3 linked regions of the Oryctolagus cuniculus genome follow. The protein of the gene in region 2 purifies or fractionates together with the protein of the main gene of each other region. This does not show direct contact. Links are inferred from orthologs where the notes say so. Each region holds a gene or a part of one and is shown on either strand. Other genes may lie near its edges.

Region 1 (3,646 bases), on a different chromosome or scaffold from region 2:
AGAGCCGCTGACTTGTTGGAAGATTTTAAATGAAGGAGATGTCATCTCTTGTTGAGTTCATATTTTTTTCAGGACTCTTGATTTTCAGCAAAGCAAGATCATGGAGAGGAGAAGGCCGAATCACACAGGAATTGTGTCTAAAGAGCACGCACAGGGCCAGCACTGTAGCGTGGCAGGTAAAGCCGCTGCCTGCAGTGCCTGCATCCCATTTGGGTGCCGGTTCAAGTCCTGGCTGCTCCACTTCCGATCCAGCTCTCTGCTGTGGCCTGGGAAAGCAGTGGAAGATGGTCCAAGTGCTTGGGCCCCTGAACCTGCGTGGGAGACCTGGAAGAAGCTCCTGGCTCCTGGCTTCAGACTGGCCCAGCTCTGGCCATAGTGGCCATCTGAGGAGTGAACCAGCGGATGGAAGGCCTCTCTCTCTCTGCCTGTCCTTTTCTCTCTGTGTAACTGTGACTTTCAAATAAATACATAAATCTTTAAAAAAAAAAAAAAAGCACCCATAGGTTTCCTGTGAGGGACACCCTACTCTAATTTGAAACTTTTTATATACTAAAGGCCCACTTTAAGTCATGGAAACAAAACATCAGGAATAACTACTCCTATCCCAAAGAGGATAACAGACTAAAGCCAAGGAAGTTTAAAAACGGCCCAGGGAGGTTTCTCATGCCCTCTTTGCTACCAAACTCCGAGATGTTTCACGACAGAAGCTGACCCGGCCGCCCACCATCACCCCACACCACTCACCTGCTCCAACACATAGGCCGCACCCACATCGATAGCTCCGCCCAGCTCGCGGTACTGGCCGGAGTACCGGATGTAGCCCCAGGTGAGCAGCGCTATCAGCAGCAGCCCGACCATGCAGTTGAACAGCTGGGCCACGACCTCGAGGCCCACGAAGCCGGTGAGGCCCGAGGCGATGTAGAGGGCCACGATGCCCGCGAAGAGCACGGCGGGCGTGCGGAAGGTGCTGAAGACGTTCTTGCTGCTGTTGTGCCTGCAGAAGCTGCCGTACAGCTCCCCGATCTCCTCCTCCAGCTCCTGCTGGTAGCGCAGGCTGAAGTCCTTCCCGCCCATCTTCTTGGTCTTCCTGAAGTGGTCCAGAGCGAGCTGTCTGAACTCACTGTGCTTCTCCTCTAGAATGTCAGGGGACAGGTAAGGCTTCTCGCCCCCACAAACCTGCAGGCAACAGAGACACGGCATGGCGAAGGTCCCTTCAAAAACAGGTGAAGACTCTCAAAGGTTACAAGGCTTTAAGTATCAGACGTTAATCTCTTATCACTGTGTTCACTTCGGGGCCGGCACTGTGGCGTAGCAGGTAAAGCTGCTGCCTGCAGTGCCGGCATCCCATTAGGCACCAGTTCAAGTCCCAGCTGCTCCACTTCCCATCCAGCTCTCTGCTGTGGCCTGGGAAAGCAGTAGAAGGTGGCCCACGTACTTGGGCCCCTGCATCCACGTGGGAGACCTAGAAGAGGCTCCTGGTTCCTGGCTTCGGATCGGCCCAGCTCCTCTCTCTGCCTCTGCCTCTCTGTAACTCTTTCAAATAAATGAATACATCTTAAAAAAAAAAAAAAAAAAAAACTTTTTCACTGTTTATTTTCATTTTGTTTGAAAGACAAAGAGAGATCTTTCTTCTCTGGTTCACTCCCAAATGCTCACGACAAACAGGGCTGGGCCAGACTGAAGCCAGGAGCCCAGAACTGTCCAACCAGGTCTCCCATGTGGGTGGCAGGGACCCAGGCACTCGGGCCATCCACCTGCTGCCTCCCAGGGGCACAGCAGCAGGAAGCTGGATGGGAGCAGAGCAGCCAGCACTCCAGCCAGCACTCTGCTAGGAAAGGTGGGTGACACACTCACAACTGAGCTGCTGCGGCAAGCGTCAGTTAACTCTCAGAAGGTGACGGAGACCAGTGAAGTCTGGTCTCACTCCTCTGCAGAGCGCACTTGGGTAAGCAGAGTGAGGAGCTCAGCGTGGCCCGGAAACGGAAAGAAATGACCATCAGAAGAGTGAAATCGACGTTTTGAGCTTCGATGACTGTTTACAGCCCTGAACAGTGTTTTTTTAATTATTATTATTTCTTGAACTCTTTACTTAGTGTAGGGTTAATCTCATGAGTGTAAAATAAACTCAAAGTAGATCACTGTAAAAATTAAAGAGGAGGATGAGGAGAGGAAGGAGGAGGAAGGGTGGGAGCGTGGGAAGCATCACCACACTCCTAAACTGGTGTACACCAAATACATGTAACCTGTATACCTTAAATAAAAAAGAATAAGTAAAACACATATATTTTTAAAAAAAAGAAACGAAATGGTGATCAGAAGGACCTGGTTATCACAATGGCCTGAATACAGCTTTGCTGCCTCATAACTTTTTTAAAAAATTATTTTTTTAGCGCCGTGGCTCACTTGGTTAATCCTCCGCCTGCAGCGCCGGCATCCCATATGGGCCCCGGGTTCTAGTGTCGGTTGCTCCTCTTCCAGCCCAGCTCTCTGCTGTGGCCTGGAAAGGCAGTGGAGGATGGCCCAAGTGCTTGGGCCCCCGCACCTGTATGGGAGACCAGGAGGAAGCACCTGGCTCCTGGCTTCGGATCAGTGCAACACACCGGCTATAGCGGCCATTTGGGGGGTGAACCAACAGAAGGAAGACCTTTCTCTCTGTCTCTCCCTCTGTCTGCAACTCTACCTGTCAAATAAAAATATATACTTATTTATTTATTTATTTGACAGGCAGAGTTAGAGAGAGAGAAAAGACAGAGAGAGAGAGAGAGTGCTCTTTCATCTGCTGGTTCACTCCCCCAGATGAATGCAAGAGCCAGGGCTGGGGCAAGGCCAAAGCCAGGAACCCAGAACTCCATCCAGGTCTCCCATGTGGGTGCAGGCGCCCAAGTACTTGGGGCATCTTCCGCTGCTTTCCTGGGTGCATTAGCAAGCAGCTGGATTGGAAGCCAAGCAGCTTGGACTCGAACAGGCATCACAAGTGATGGTTTAACCCGCTGTGCCACAATACCAGCCCCCCTGCAGTGTCAAGTCAGATCAAGTTTGGGCCTCGGAAGACAGCCGCATGGTCAGGTATCGCGACACCTCAGGATCAGGCACCTGCCCACATACCTCTTCCATGTTGTTGTAATACACGTCCTTGGCAGCGGCTGCCGCCGCTAAGTTGTTGGCTTCAGCAGTGGCCTGTTAGGAAAGGAAGGCGTGAGCTATAAACCCTTCCTCTTTGAACATGCTCCACAAATACCCAAGTACAAATCTCTCACCCCACTTCCATTCTTCCTTTCTCGTTAACCTTCTGCTACTTTTTAGACTTTCACATAGCTCAATTTATGAAACAAAATATATCTTTTCTGCCAGATTTTCAACCAAATTAAAATCTGTTCTTTAATATGTAAGACTCGTTAACACAGGATAAACCTCTAAAAATCTAGGGAAATAGCATTTCCTTGTCTCTGGTTTTAAATGTAAGAAATAGCTGTGAATCAAAAAAAAAAAAAAAAAAAAAAAAAAAAAGGAACATTTTCGTCTTTGAAATGTGAGTCCCAGGCACTCGTCTCCTGTGTGAAAATGCTTTGCTACTAAAGGAACTGACATTTGGCAATGAGTGTGCTTATGCTCGTCATAAGAAAGTCAGAGATTATCTGCGTTAACC
Region 2 (3,646 bases):
AAATAAATAAATAAATAAAAATCCAAACAAACAAACAAGCAAAAAACATGGAGGAACCAGCACCCAAATTGGAACTCAGATTTAGAATGTGAGTATCACAAGCAGTGGCTTTAACCCACTGCACCACCACACTAGTCCATTCTGTTCCTAGACTGAAGTTTTTCTGTCCTTCTCTTCTTGGTCAGAGCCTACTGGCTTTAAAGTCCAGAGAGCACCCAAGGATGCCTTTCTTACTACTTCCAGGTTTCTAAGGTCTGTTAGACCCTTTCCTTTGCTGCCACAGTGCCTTTCACTGTATCTGTCGTTCTGAGAGTGATCTCTGGTTACCTTCCTCCCAAAACACAGTGTGAGCTCCCTAGAGCTGAGTGCCGGTCTTCTCTCCCGATGCCCCGTGTCTGGTTCAGGGCCTTGCCCACGGCAGGGATAGAGGACGTACTTGGAAAGGGGGGTACCTGCAACTCCAGGCTCTCGGCATGTGGCTTCTTGATGAGGAAGGAGGCAGTCTCGTCCCAAACAGGAGCTGCAGTCTGGGCCACGGTCTGGTGGGAAGGGGTTAGGATCAGCGGTGGGTACTCTCCCCCTTCTTCCCTAGCCTTCCCACTCGCCCTGCAGCATCCCCTGCTACCTTGGTTTTATGAGAAACGTCTCCCACAGTGAGGGTAGCATAAGGGCTGGGAGGCTTCGTCCCTTTTCGGAGCTGGGAAAGGAACATGGTGTTAGTCGTCAAACTTGGACCTTGCTAGGCGGATCTCCCTTCACAAATGGCCACGGCCCCATCATCACTGGATAGCCACTCCTCTTGTGGCCTTGGACAGACAATTCTTCCCACACCAGCTCCACCTCCACCTCAGAAAGAGAGGGGCTGTGTACTATTCCAAACCCACCAGGAGCTCCCAAACCCAAGGGAGGTAGAAGAAGGGCCAGGGAGATGTGGGCCTGGGGAAGATCTCACCGGCAGGTCCTCCGCCCGCTCCAGGTACACAGACAGCAGGGCTGCTGCCAGCTCGCCGCTCTTCTGAGTCTGTATCAAGCTGTTCACCTGCAACACCTGGGCAGGACACGGCGGGAGGCTGGGGAGTGGGGCCTGGTGTGTGCCTCGAGCTGAGTGAGGAGCTCACCCTGGCCCACTTCGGCTCCCTCTCTTCCTCCCTCCAGTCTCCTTCCTCACCTCCTCCAACTCAGCAGCAGTGGGGCGGGGGGTGAGACGCTCCAGGCGCAAGTGCAGGCGGCCGGACGGGACGTCCTCCAGGGTCAGCCACTGTGGAAGTGGGCAGGTGAAGGTTCGGGGTGTGGGACAGGGGAGCTAGGAGCAAGAGGCCTGGATGGACATCAGAGGAATAGCTGCTCACCTCGTCAAGGAAGCCAGTGTTGAGGACTGTGGTGAGACTCACTTTACACCTGCAGAGGAAAATCAGTTACAACAGAACCAAACGTTTCTCTCCCCAAGGCCAGCGGCCTCCATGGCCTCCGCAGGCCTGCCCGTCTTCTCACCTGCCCAGGAAGTCATCCTTGTCCAAGTCCTTGTCAAAGACCTCAACGTCTAGCTCTTGGCCTGGAATCGATGTGACAATCACCTAGTGGGAGGAAAAGGGGCATCTTGCCTTCTCTCCCAGTGACCAGACCCCCAGTTCATGGAACCCCACAGGTGTTTGGACCACTTGTGAAACTGGGGGAAAATGGGCCGACCTGAGAGGAGTGCCAGCCCCTGAATTCAGACCTCAAAAACTTCATTCCAGCGGGGATTGAGATCTTCCCGAACGACACGGCTCCGGAAGCTTCGGCCCGCCAGCTTTAGTTTGACGTAGGGATCAGACTTGCCCTTCACCAGTCCTCCCAAGAAACGGTCTTTGGGGATCAGGTCCTGGGCCTCCAACACGTGGATCCGAAGCACATTCTGTGAAAGGGACAGATGGGGCACCAGATGGTGGTCAGAGGGAGAGAGAGACCTCAGGACCATGAACCAGGCCCGGTCCATTCCAGATACTCACCTCCGTCCCAAAGTGACTGTCGGGAGTAGTGTGGCAGGGCCGAGTGGGGGTGTCCACACTGCTGCCTGTCTGGGGGCTCTCACTGTCTGCATCCTGAGAGCCAGGAGCGCCAGGCCCAGCGGGGAAGCAGATTTGTGATGAATCCAAGTATAAGATCTGGGAAGGGTAGTGCGGTCTTGGAATCAAAGGAATGCAGCTAGCCACTAGCAGGCAGGGCGGGCGGGGCTGGGAGCAGAGCAGAGGCTCTGACAGGGAAGCCAGGCCCTTGCCTTGGCCAGACTCTCGAAGGTTCCCTCACACCCGCCCTGACTCACTCACATTCCTTCCTGCAGTCAGACGAGTGAACACTGTCGCATGTCTGTTAGGTGCTTCTACACACACTAGCTCATTTCACCTTGGAGGGCTGTCCCTCCTTCCAGTTAATCCCAAGGAACCCAAGGGGCCTTTCCCCCACCCTCACTGTATCTGCATTTCCATACCCTCATGACCAGTTTCATGTAGATCCTGGAGTTCAGGCCAGAGCCACTGAGCTGGAACCACTGGTCCAGCGTGAGTTCAGGGGCAGTCAGTAGGCGAGCCAGAGGCAGGGTCAGTGCCCCTAAAGTCAGGGCCCTGGAGTCATCCTTGACCTATAGGCACAGGAGGAAAGAGAGGCATGGTGGGGAAGTGGTAACCTGGCTCCTGCTCCGTCCCTCTCCATCACACAGGTGCTCTACTTGCTCTGGTCTGTTGACAGTCCTCTGCCCACTCCATGGTCCCCTCCACCTTCTCTCATTCTGTTCCCATACTTGAAAAGTTTGTCTCTTCCTACTTAAAGCCTACTTATGGGGCTGGTGCTGCGGTGTAGTGGGTAAAGCCACCACCTACAGTGCCAGTATCCCATATGGGTGCCGGGTTGAATCCTGGCTGCTCCATTTCCAGTTCAGCTCCCTGCTAATGTACCTGGGAAGGCAGCGGAAGATGGCCTTAGTCCTTGTTGCCCTGCATCCATGTGGAAGACCCAGAAGAAGCTCCAGGCTCCAGGCACCTGGCTTCGGATCAGCTCAGCTCCAACTAACCATTGTGGCCATTTGGGGAGTGAACCAGCAGATGGAAGACCTTACTCTCTCTTTCTGCCTCTCTGACTTCCAAATAAATAAATTAAAAAAAAAAAAAAAAAAGCCTACTTATTCCTGGGGCTGGTATTGTGGTCCACTGGGTTATGCTTTCTGCTTGCAGTATCAGTATATCAAGTGCCAGTTCAAGCCCCAGCTATTCCACTCTAATCCAGCTTAGTGGATGTGGCCCTATGGGTTTGGGCCCCTATAGCTCAAGTGGGAGACCCAAATGGGTTCCAGGCTCCTGGCTTCAGCCTGGCCCAGCCTTGTGGCAGGCATCTGGGGAGTGAACCAGTGGATGGAAGATCTTTCTCCCTGATGTTCTGCCTTTCAAATAGATAATTAAATAAATCCTTTAAAAATAGCTCAATCTAAAAAAAAGTCCTATTTACCCTTCTAGGCCCAGTTACAATCTGACTTCTTTTACCAAATCCACTTCTCCAGCCTGTGCACCTTCTGTGCTGTACTAGTTACCTGACTCGCACTGATCAAGATGTAACTGTTCGATGATGATTTTTAACAATTTTTAAATGTTTTATTCTCCACATGAGAGAGAGGGAG
Region 3 (4,426 bases), on a different chromosome or scaffold from region 2:
GCCAAATTTCCTTGTGCCATCTCAGACACTCATTTCATTGTTCTAATTTTCCTTGTAGTAAGGAGGATTAGATGGAACAGATTAATTTGCCTTGCAAAATGGGCATAAACAGTGGAAATATCCCAGATCACTGGCACAAAAGCAGAGCAGTACACACTTTCTTGTAGTTACCTTCATTAAATGATGAGGTCTTAGGGTAGGAAGCTGTATAAAGACAAATAACCATGCTGCTCACTGTAAAAAATGTATACGTAGTTAGAGACTTTTCATATTCTTCCTATAGAAAGAAAGATCCCGATGGAATTACAAAAATTACATAGAGGACTCTAACGATGATTATTGACTTCTTCGTGGTTTATCTTCATGACAACACTATGAAGAAAAGCTGAATTAGATCTGAGACCAAGAGTATCACATACCAGTATACCAATTCTAGAAATAAATAGGAACTTGAAACCTTTCCTTGCTAATAGAACAAACCAAATTGCAAATAACTGTTTTTATCCATATTCAATCCTAAAGTTGTGGTTTGACCCTCCTCATAAGTTCCCTGGCTCTGTGACTAAGACATGAAAATGTTTAGGAAAATTCAAGAAACCACCCTGTGGATAAACTCACATACAATACAAAAACTAATCCACTTTTGGTTGCAATATATTAGCTAGATAGAATTTCTTTTAATTAATCCCATGAAGTTTGCCCTAACTCCAATGCTTCTGAAAAATACAAACACTAGGAACTTTATATCTGCAAGACAAACAGACTCAGAAGTTGTGGTGAATGGTGAACTAAATATTAGGCAACACTGCTTTGCAAATGCCAAAAATGATTTAGTGATATTATACTGAATTTAAATTATTTAGTGCCCAGAATAAGATTCTGCTCAGCTCTAGTTGGGAGATTCTAGAAATGATGCAGATGTCACTGCCAAGTACATTAAATTCTTAAGCAAGAATCAAGAACCCAAACTCAAATATCACAAAAAGTAATGTTACAACAAGATATTTAGGCTAAAGGAAGACCAGGCAAAGTAGAAGCAAGGGAAAATAAGTGCAGGGCAATCAGAAAAGGAACTAGCACAGTTTTAATTAGCCTTATATGAAAAACAATTACCAGTGGCAGAAAGGTACAGAAAAACAGATTCTGGTTGAAAACTAGCTTTCCATATTAGCTTTAAAGTCGGTAAGTATTGAGTAAGAGAAATAAAAAAATTTTATAAAATAGGAAGAAAGAATCCAAGGGGCTTAGTTACTCTGCTTAATTATATTTCCATAAGACCAGCTTCCAATTTTATATAACAAAAAGAAAGACACAAAATATAGGTAGTTCTGCAAGTCATATTTTATAAAGGATAATCTGTCAGTGGTGATTAAGCTACTGCAAAATTCCAGATGAGAAAAGTGATTAACTATTATAGATAGTGGCACTGGGAACAGAAAAAAGGATTTTAGAAACATTTTTAGATGGAGCACATGGGGCTTATGATTTCTACAGGGTCTTTTTCAATAACATTTACCATGCAAATCTAGCCATTCACCCAATAAAAATAACAGTAGTAGCAAATACATACTGCTTACTGTGTGTCAGACAATGCTCTAATTATTTTACAAATATATTTAGATGTTTTATCAATTAATTAATTTCATTCTCAAAAACTATATATTGTATTCTATAATCACCTCCAATTAACAGATGAGCAACTAAGGCACCAATGTCACTCAGTGGAAAAAAATACACCAAAGAACCAGTAAGCGGTTAGATAACAAGCTTTGTGCCTAGATAGTACAATTCCATGGTTAAAGCTCTTAATAAACTCAACAACTGCTAAAAAAAAAAAAGCCAACCAAGTCCAAGGCAGGCAGTGAGTAGCAATGTCAACAGCTCAGTCTAGGGAAGGAATATCTGGGGGAGGGGGGAGTACAGAAGGTGTAAGGATCTGACTGTATCAGAATCATGTAAGTTGTTAAAAACAAATTCGTATTGAATCCAAATCTCTAGAAATGAGAACTAGAAATCAGCATTCTAATTTTATACTAGCATAAAAAAGCAAAAACAAAAACAAAGCCTGGATAGTTTTGTAGCAGAACCAAGTTTGGAAACTCCTGTAACAGATCTCTAAAGCGTCTTCCTGCTTTAACAGTCTAGTTGACACTATATACTAATTTCTCAGAAATGAGGAAGGAATCCTGGCACCAGAACATCTGTGCATTTATTTAGAGTTCACATTGTTTTTTTTTGTTTTTTTAAGAATCGTTTTATTTAATAAATACAAATTCCATAGGTACAGCTTTTTGAATATAGCGGTCACATAGTTTACGTTCCCAATTTGGCTAAACGATCCTCCAAGGAACAAGGAGAGACCAGGTAATAGAAGGAAGAGTGTGTCCACGGAATGCTGGCTAAACAGCGGGTTTTATTCTAGGCTTCTCTAGCACCATGAGCAAAAAGAAATCTTTCCAGATTAGAAATACGTGTTGTAATCCGACCCGTCATCTAGCCAATGATGGATATCAATATATTCTTTCAACATTCCTAACCTCCTACGTTGGGGCCTGCCTACTCTGAGGCCAGGTGAATCCGGCGCAACAAAAAGAGGGTCTGCTCTGCAAAGGCACACCTCAAGTCCCCTACTCCCAAAGACAGCCCGCTCCGCACATACCTGAGGGTCCTCTAGTAAGATTGATTTCTTCCTCGGTGATTAAGTAATCCACTCTTCCGTTCATGTTTTACCGCTCCTATTCGGTTCAGCTGGGGCTCTGCCCAGGTGAAGGTGAATCAATCTCCGCGCTGCGGTCTAAGAACAGCACTTCCGGTTCGCGCAGCCTCCGGGCCGGAAGAGGAAGTGCGCCGCGCTCAGAGCGCTCGGAATGCTGGGAGTCGTGGTTCTCACAGCCGATCGGTTGTGTTCTCTCGTTGAGTGTTCCGAGAAAACTGTGAGGTCAGCAAGCCGCAAGTTATTGACCGGCGAAAGTACTTGGGAAAAGTAAGGTTGGGGTGGAGGGAGGCTAGTTAAGGTAGTGGACGTAAAGAAATTGATATTGCTGAGGAAAAATCTAAAAGGAATCTTGGCATCTCAAAATTTCCACAAATATAGAAAAGAAAATTTTGTTATTCTGTGAGCATCAAACTAGACTGGGATGGACGTTACAGGCAATCCATTGATGAGATTGCCAAAATGAAAAATCTCGTATAAGCCAAGTAGGTACAAACCATAACATGCTTGTCCTTACATAGAGGACTTGACAACACCATTTGTTATCCACTCTCTGATGGTTCACCTTTGGGGTGGCCTTCTGTGTTAGTTAATACAGGTTAGCAAAGGAAAAGTAATACTTTGCTCTCTGTATGACAAGCTGTTGCGTAAAGATTAGTGTAAACCACTTGGGTTAACTTCCATAGTAAGAGGAGATAGGAGCACTGTTTTCCCTGATATTAACATTGGGAAGAGATGGTTCCCAGGACCTTAAGTAAAAGATTCCTGGATTGTTGCTGACAAAAGCCTTATTTAATTTTAAGAAATTTAAGGGGCTGGTGCTGTGTCCTGATGGGTAAAGTGGCCGCCTGCAGTGTCCTCATTCTATATGGGCATTACTTCAAGTTCCAGCTCTCTGGTGTGGCCTGGGAAAGCAGTACCCAGTGGTACTGCACCTGTGTGGGAGACCTGGAAGAAGCTACTGGCTCCAGGCTTTGGATTGGCCCAGCTCTGGCTGTTGTGGACATTTGGGCAGTGAACCAGCGGATGGAAGACCTCTCACTCTCTCTGTGTAACTCTGCCTTTCAAATAAATAAATCTTTTATTTTTTAAAAGGAAGATATATATATATATACATAAACATTCAAATTTAAGGAATAGAGAGTGGGGCAAAGTCTACAAATTGATGCTACTGGGAAAAATAGGCTAAGGATGGAAGATTAGAGCAGTGATACACACTTAATTCTATATGTATTAGGCTAAGATGGAAGTGTACTTCATTCACAGTAAAGAACTAGAGATGGATGGTCAAAGGCTAATAGAGGAGCTCCTCAGTCACCAAGGAATCAGATTCCTTTCATCTTTCTATAACCCCTTCAGTTCTCATCCTTAGAGTGTGGCCTTTACTTCATGGCCCAAGATGGTTACGATGGTTTTTGGAACTTCAGCCTTCATATTCACATTTCAAGAAGGGAATGAAATGGCAAAGAGAACCTATTGGAAGTTTCATATATTTCTTGTATCTCCTTGAATAGAAGCCTATTACATGATTATATTTAACTATGAGAGAGACATAGAATATGCCATGTTTTAGTGGGATGGAAATGTGCTAACTAAAAAAAAATTAGGGTTGTTATTATTAACTAAAAATGGGAGAATGGATATTGGGGACCATTGGCCACTGGCAGAAGTGACACTAAATTAGTCTTTTTGTTTATGGTTCTGTGCCCTTGA

What was found.
Region 1: the proteins of ESYT1 (region 2) and ATL3 purify together in Homo sapiens (affinity purification with mass spectrometry; 3 studies listed by BioGRID and IntAct, with this or other methods). This does not show direct contact. The link is inferred for Oryctolagus cuniculus from reciprocal best matches to the Homo sapiens genes ESYT1 and ATL3.
Region 3: the proteins of ESYT1 (region 2) and SYNJ2BP purify together in Homo sapiens (affinity purification with mass spectrometry; 4 studies listed by BioGRID and IntAct, with this or other methods). This does not show direct contact. The link is inferred for Oryctolagus cuniculus from reciprocal best matches to the Homo sapiens genes ESYT1 and SYNJ2BP.

What each region holds. Positions count from the first base shown.
Region 1 is NC_091432.1:7,549,346-7,552,991, reverse strand, and holds part of ATL3 (atlastin-3), read right to left. Parts: intron 3,178-3,646; coding exon 3,106-3,177; intron 1,177-3,105; coding exon 745-1,176; intron 1-744. UniProt on the Homo sapiens protein: Atlastin-3 (ATL3) is a membrane-anchored GTPase that mediates the GTP-dependent fusion of endoplasmic reticulum (ER) membranes, maintaining the continuous ER network. It facilitates the formation of three-way junctions where ER tubules intersect.
Region 2 is NC_091442.1:58,936,506-58,940,151, reverse strand, and holds part of ESYT1 (extended synaptotagmin-1), read right to left. Parts: intron 3,149-3,646; exon of another isoform or gene 2,910-3,148; intron 2,618-2,909; coding exon 2,468-2,617; intron 2,145-2,467; coding exon 1,989-2,144; intron 1,895-1,988; coding exon 1,718-1,894; intron 1,575-1,717; coding exon 1,492-1,574; intron 1,399-1,491; coding exon 1,350-1,398; intron 1,259-1,349; coding exon 1,169-1,258; intron 1,049-1,168; coding exon 953-1,048; intron 698-952; coding exon 626-697; intron 540-625; coding exon 453-539; intron 1-452. UniProt on the Homo sapiens protein: Binds calcium (via the C2 domains) and translocates to sites of contact between the endoplasmic reticulum and the cell membrane in response to increased cytosolic calcium levels.
Region 3 is NC_091451.1:16,186,417-16,190,842, forward strand, and holds the start of SYNJ2BP (synaptojanin-2-binding protein), read right to left. Parts: upstream 2,847-4,426; 5' UTR 2,724-2,846; coding exon 2,660-2,723; intron 1-2,659. UniProt on the Homo sapiens protein: Regulates endocytosis of activin type 2 receptor kinases through the Ral/RALBP1-dependent pathway and may be involved in suppression of activin-induced signal transduction.